2 linked regions of the Drosophila melanogaster genome follow. The protein of the gene in region 1 purifies or fractionates together with the protein of each later gene. This does not show direct contact. Each region holds a gene or a part of one and is shown on either strand. Other genes may lie near its edges.

What was found.
Region 2: the proteins of CG1092 (region 1) and PH4alphaEFB purify together in Drosophila melanogaster (affinity purification with mass spectrometry, with the first as the bait; one large-scale study listed by BioGRID). This does not show direct contact.

What each region holds. Positions count from the first base shown.
Region 1 is NT_033777.3:4,265,200-4,268,940, reverse strand, and holds CG1092 (uncharacterized protein), read right to left. Parts: upstream 2,172-3,741; 5' UTR 1,968-2,171; coding exon 1,736-1,967; intron 1,681-1,735; coding exon 728-1,680; 3' UTR 625-727; downstream 1-624.
Region 2 is NT_033777.3:30,464,201-30,467,959, forward strand, and holds the start of PH4alphaEFB (prolyl-4-hydroxylase-alpha EFB), read left to right. Parts: upstream 1-1,849; 5' UTR 1,850-2,174; intron 2,175-3,759. Other genes in the region: CDase (ceramidase), read left to right, coding at 1-81, 507-1,117, 1,178-1,361.

The DNA of each region.
Region 1 (3,741 bases):
TAAGACATAGAGGCAGCGCAAGTTTGTTGACCCATATTTTGAAAAATGTTTTGATATGTTTTTATAATTTTATTAGACTTGTAAATTTCTATCGATTTGCCAAAAAAATTTGCCACGCCCACTCTAACGCCCTAAAACCGCCCAAAACTGCCACGCCCACACTATTGCAAAATGTTTACATTTTTTTCATAATTTTATAAGTCTTGTAATATTCTATCGGTTAGCCAAACAATTTTTTTCACGTCCACTCTAACGACCTTAAGCTTCCAAACCGGTCACGCCCACACTTTTAAGCCATTTTTAATTTGTTTTTCATTTTATTCCCCATCTATCGATATCCCAGAAAAATTATGAAATTTCGCGTTCGCATTCGCACTAGCTGAGTAACGGGTATCTGATAGTCGTGCAACTCGACTTAAGCATTCTCTCTTGTTTTACATTTCAGTTTTTGGCCACAAGCCGCCCGTATGCATGACCCACGCTTTCAAAATTTTTTATTATATATTTCTTTTTTTTATTTTTTTCCCAACTTCAATCGATATGGAAGAAATTTCTCGTTTGCTCTTTCACTAGCTGAGTAACGGGTATCTGATATTTGGGTATCTTAACTTCGCTTGTTTTTTAGTGAAAGCCATTTTTTTCAAATGGTTTGTACACCTTTATGAGAATGTTATTGCTTTTATTGTATCTCGTAAACTAAATATATGGTAGAAATGGTCTTGATCTTTTAAACACAAGTCATAGGGTTTTCCGTTTGGAATCCACAAGAGTATATGTCGTAAAAGTCCTTGTTCTGTTTAAGGCCCAGATAGAAGACATGCTCGGCCAGATCCTTCCCAAACTCACAGAAGTTCTGAGCGTAAAGAGTAAAAAATATACGCTTGTTGTCAAGATGGTACTTTTGAAGGACGCCATTTTCCTGATCGTATATCCCACTGTTCTGTGGAGGCGAGTTGATCCAGGCGCTGTAGTCTATCCAGGCCGCTCGGAAGCTCTTTAAGTAGATCACAGCCAGCATTCTGGCCTCATCCAGAACATTAACGAACTGCGGCAGCCTTAAACACTCCACATCTTCGCGAAACCGCGTGAAATCACGCTGACGCTCCAGACTATTAAAAAGCATCATGTACAAATGGACCGTAAACGTGGAGTAGAAGTAGGACATGGGCTTGTTGCGGCTCTGAAAGAGGTACATGCTCCAATCCAGCATGGTGCGCTGAACCCCCAATTCGTATGTTGAATTCAGTTTTCTGTGCTGCTCCAGATTGCGAACGTTGTGTTCGTAGCTCTCCCGGTAGATCCGCAGGTCCTTGTACTCCCGGCTCAGGTCTCTAGCATGGAAGTAGACTCGCGGCGTTTTAAATTTCTGCTTATACGTGGCCAGCTTGCTGAGAATGGGATTCGACTCTCTGTCCTTCTGAAACCTGACGACGAAGCGGTCCAAAATGCCCAGAAAGTCATCCAGCTCGTGGGATTCTCCATTGAGCATGTTTTTTGTAACTATATACCCGAAAAGTGGCTTGAAATACTCATAGGTCTCACGATAGCAGTCTTCCAGCGCGTGGTGCACGTTGCAGGAGATGAAGAAGTCCAGCGTCTTCTGCTTAGCCTCGAATGGCTCTGGATCGTTCTGCAGCTCGGTCAGCAACTGCATAAGATCGCCCATTTGCGGCATGTGTCCTTGGATAGGGTATATGCATTAGGCACTCCCCCAACACAGGCTTTCCTCACTTACCCATGATCGAAAAGAGGGGTCGATTGCGGCTACAGACGTAGTCGAAATAGCTCTCGCAGGCATACTTTTCGGTGTTGATGGAGCCCTGTATACGAACCGACAATTTTTCAAGTTCCCTTATCCGCAGCTCCGACAGGTGCCGCACGTATCCCACTTGGCAATGCCCTGAACCAGTCAACATCAACAGAATAAGCGCTACGGATGCGCCGATTGCAAGACTTGAGGTTGTCATCGCAGAGCTCAAGTCACTGGCAACCCAGCTTTTGCGCCAGCCTATCGGACCCCTCAACGGATGTCGGATTTCGTTGCACAGTAGTTCGAGAGAGAGTCACTTTTCAAATACGTCTATCACTGGGCAACGAAACTATTTAACTTCAATTGAAATGTAAGCACAAAACTCCGTATCCCCTGGTATTAAATAACTAAAATAACTTATTGAATGTTTCAATTTTTAGTAAAAACTTTTTTATTACTTTTGACAATATTTAAAAAGATTTTCTGTCCAAGTGGACAATAATTAAATGATTGTGGGCTGACATTGACATAATTTATTTTTATCATAATGAACGTTTGAAAAGCATAGATAGTATTGAAAAATGCCCTATTAGTGCAACTCAGTATATGTTTTTATGGTGTGTTTTCAACATTTTCAACTTATGCTTCTTCAACGTGTTTAACCAAAAATTTATCCGGACTTTAGAAGAACGTTTTGTTGCAGACAGTTACAAACAGTTCTCCAAAATCACAATAATCAATCTTTACCGTTTTACCTTTTTTATTTTATCGCGCACATATAAACGGTCTAAAAACCAATTAAACGCTCACATTCCTATTTTATCATTTTTACTTGAAAATGCAAAAACACCCGAAAGTTCTCGGGTTGTTTGTTGTTTTTATATTGTTGAATTATTAGAACGGATTTATATATGATCTTATTACACTCGCACCACAGTGCATTGCTCAATTCGAGGTCTTATTTTAATTCAGTGAGTGAGTTCCTATGCTTAATTATATTTCCGAAGCGATAAGAATGTCAAGTCCTATCAGGAAAATTTCTCTCCCACTGTTTTTACGATCGCGCTATTCTGGAATATGGGCTTTGCATCGTTTCACAAGTATTACGAGTTATATCTGACTAAGCGTAGACAACAGTGTGCAGTTGCTTATGAAAGGAATGATTTAAATATACATATACATACATAATATACATATATTATATTATATTTGTTGGTTTATAAAAAAAAAGTATTTTTATTGATCAAAAACTTAAGCGAATGTCGGAGACAAATTCACGTCTTACACAATTGAAGTATGAATAAAATCTAAATCTAATTTGCAAAGCGAACGCTTAGCAAACCCTTGGCTGAGCTTATTTACTTCTTCATATTGAGCGTACATAGGCTCTCATTTATGTTTACGTTAATTAGGCGCTCTCTTGAGTGGATTGCGCATGGATATAGATCAGCCGAGTTTGAGCTACGTGGAAAGTTTTGACCCTTAAAGCTGTGTTAGCAGTTTTGACCCTCTGGTGGGAGTCGCGAATGCGGCTGCGGATGTTTATGTCTGTTGGATTGGGTGCCTTCTTGAGTGGATCACTCATGGGTACTGATCAGCCGAGAACTTGAGCTGCGTAAGCGGTTTTGACCCTTTGGTGGGAATAACTGATTCGGCAGCGGATGTTAATGTTTACATTAGGGTAGGCTGGATTTGTTATTGTCACCAGAATTTGGGTTCTTATTGGATACATGATTTTATGACTTATATCCTAAGGCATTCTATGATTTTGTGTATGGCTGTTCCTATGTGGTTATGTATGTGTGTGTGTAAGTATATGTGGTCTTATACTATGGCACATATGCTACTTCCCCATCCTTTAAATTTAGCCTGTCCTCAGGCGGATATTCTAGGATACAATACAGGATTAGTATCAAATACTGTATTTATATTTTCTGTTGTTGTGTTATTTTGTTGTTCTATTTGTTGTGGATTCTCTTTTTTATATTTAA
Region 2 (3,759 bases), about 26 Mb from region 1:
GTGCGCGACTTCATCGCTGCTCCCACGCAGGAGGACATCAAGTGCCATGAGCCCAAGCCCATTCTTCTGGCCACCGGCAGGGTGAGTTTTTCCATTAATCAATTATTATTAACTAAAAAGCAAGTCTGAAAAAAAACAATAGCGATTTTAAAAGAATTTCTGAAATTGCCTAAAGGTATGCAGCACAAAAATCATTCCATTTGTTTGGAACTTTGTTGAGTGTTGTGTGCATCAGAAAATAAATTTAAATGTGTTTAATAGTGCAAAGGAACAAAATACCAATTTTGGAATAGAATACATAAATTTATGTAGTGGATTTTGTTTTTATAATGCACATTTAAGTGGGGTAATTAAACTGAAACGTTACGCAAATTAGTTGTCAGCTCATAAAAATCAAGGTAAGGTAGTTATAGCCAGGCTATAGGTCATCACTTAATGCGCAACTGTTATTTAAAAATCTAAGTGCACTTTAAGCATATCTAACATGTACATTATCCATATTTAAGGCCACCTTTCCCTATGAGTGGCAGCCAAAGATTGTCTCGGATCAGCTACTAAAGATCGGCGATGTGATCATAGCCGCCGTGCCCTGCGAGTTCACCACAATGGCAGGACGTCGTCTGCGAAACCAGATTCGAGCAGCTGCCTCCGCCGTCGGAGGCATCGACACCGAGGTAATCATCGCCGGACTGACCAACATATACACCAGCTACACGGTGACCCCGGAGGAGTACCAGGCGCAGCGTTACGAGGCCGCCTCCACGATCTTCGGTCCCCATACCCACTCCATTTACATGGACGTCTTCGAACGCCTGACCAAGGCCATGATGCGTAATGAGACCGTGGATGCGGGTCCAAGTCCGCCGTACATGAATGATGTGATGCTATCGCTGAACACCGGGGTTCTCTTCGACGGACATCCCATAAACACCGACTTTGGCTACGTGAAGTCGCAGCCCAACAAGGAGTACGGCATCAACGAGACGGTGAAGGTCACCTACATATCCGGAAATCCGCGTAACAACCTCTTCACCGAGAAAACCTACTTCACCATTGAGCGAAAGATCAACGAGGATCGCTGGAAGGTGGCCTATACGGATGCCAGCTGGGAGACCAAGTAGGAAGCGCCAGCTTGAGGTTATAAATGTTGGTACTTAATAAAATCGTTACTTTTCAGAATGGTCTGGCACCGAACCAATACGATCCTGGGCTTCAGCGAAATGGACATCTACTGGGACATCAGTCCGCAGACTCTTCCCGGGGAATATCGCATTCGCCATTCCGGGGAGTACAAGTACATCCTGGGCGGAAAGTATCCCTACGAGGGACTCACGCATTCCTTCACCGTTAAGGAGGACTAGGATTAGATATCCGTGTGGAGTGATTTTATAAATATTCCTGGCCAGACAGTTGTAGGGCCCATCAAAAACAAAATCAACACTGAATCCATGTATTTATTTACCATTTGTAAGTGACGAAGGAAAAGCTTTATTTTTGCAAACGCGAATAAAAAAGATGCCAAATTATGTTGAAACTAAGGAGAAGTGTTTTTAATTTTGATCGAAATGGCTGTTCTAGTAGTCTTTTGACATTGCTTCACCTTTTTACCAATTACAATTCAAATTGCCCGCCACCATATACGATCCGCAAACAGCTGTTCGAATGAAATCCACAATGCTGTACAAGTTTCTCTCTTTCAACTCTTTTTCTCTTTTGTGGTATTAAATTGAACTTCGAAATTCGAAATTGGTGCTCTTCTCTTAAATTCGAAACAGAAACCAGAAATTCTCTCTCTTTCTGGATCTGGAAGTCGGTATTTATCTATATTCGAGGCGGCAGCAAAACAAAATCAGTTCCAGTCGGTATTTCTCGGCGCGCGCACGCGAATTAAACAGAAACACAAATTATATTTTTGTAGTCAAAACTGTGAAAAAGGGAATTTACTCCTCGGGGGACCAGAGAAAACAATCCTTAAATTCGAGTCTAAACGAAAATATCTAAAACAAACGTGATTTGTGTGCTTCCAGTTAGAGTGCATAAAATGTATCTATAAGATACGAAGTGCGGGTGGGCAATGCAATCGAGGTGTTCTCGTTGAATTGTAAACAAAGAAGGCGGCCAGTTTCATTGACATCCATTGAGATCCAGCAACAAGTTCGCATAAGAAACACAGGGTAAATTAAAGAAATTCCACAGATACATTTTCTAGAACTTCTGACGTGTTCCTCCTGCCGGCATCCGTCGTGCACTGATAACAATAATCGAGTCTTTTTACTTGAATGACGGGAATGTGGGCCATCTAAATTGAATATTCGATTTTGATTAGAGAGAAATGCTCTGCTGCGCTGTGACAAAAAAACTAAACTGATTTGAGTGTTCACATACTATTCTATATGCACTTGTTGTCACCACATGGCGATTCAATTGACCGCTTTTTGCCCCCACATATTCCCCATTTCCTACTGCTGATGCTCCTCCCTCCTCCTCCATCTCCGCTGGCGATAAGCCTCTAAATATCTGGACTCGAAAAAGTCTGTGCGGCATAGGCGTCAATGTGTATATGTACTTTTTACGTCCGTCTGGGTGTGTTTATATAATGATGATCAGGGGGCGAAAAGAAGGAAGTGCCGCAGTCACGTAGTCAATTGTAGGCATTTGTTTTGGTCTCGTTTCCCGTGCACTTCATCTTCCAATGCAAAGGGTATAAACACTGCGTTGCCAACTGTGCGAAAAAGGATGGCCTAGTTCAGCAAGGAATCAATAGATTTGAAACAAATTGTTTTCTTCCTTTAACTATACATTTCAGTAGCAAATTACATGAATAAGTAATATTAGGTAGTCAATCAGTGACTTAAAAATAACCAGTTTATTAAACTGTTTTCAAACCTGTTTGTAAAGAGGATACAATTACTTTAAAGGGTAATAAAGTTACTCTTTATATAACAGAATCCTTTTTTAAATGTATAACATATATAACATAATGTACCTGGTAAATGTCTATGATTAAAACCCAGTTGAAGTGACTCCTATTTAGCACGGACACAAACCTCATTTAGCCGCTCTTATTAGCGGGATATTTCTTGTCTAATTGGAAATACTTAACCAATTAGACTCTGGTTTGGATGATTAATGGCTAGGCGTGTATTTTTGAAAATACAATCGGATTCAATAGCTTCAATTAACTTACGAGCAAGGTGTGTTAATTTATGAAATTTATAATTTAGCCGCAATCTGGTTCGTTGCTCCCCGCCTGCTTTTTCGGCCTTTCGCCTTTACGTCCATTTGATCAGTATTATTTGTTTGCTAATTAGTTCGGCAATGACGACCGGTTGGCAATAATAGAGTTGGATGCGAAAACGAAAGTGGCTGCCAAGTGGATCACCAGTTCCATCCATGTGCGGAATGCAATGAAAGTGAGGACAATGTCGACAAGGAGCTGCTATTTGGCCCACTTCCTTGTCTGGTTTTTGCGCCCATTTCGCTCCAGCCTTTTTCCCAGCTCATCTTTCGCTTTTATAATGTTCAGCAAAGTCTTTGAACCGGTTTGGTATTGCGATTTCCATCGGGGACGCCTTTTATGCTTACATTTCAAGGTGAATTGTAAAATTTATGTGTGCACACGCTCCATGACGGCATCTGACTGGCATTAAAGCACTTCGCCATGGGTTAATCATGGGGGCCAGCCGGGTGTTAAGGCAGCTGGGGATGAGCTGCGAACATTTGTCATTCATTACTAATTAGCAAACTCGCTGAATGCAC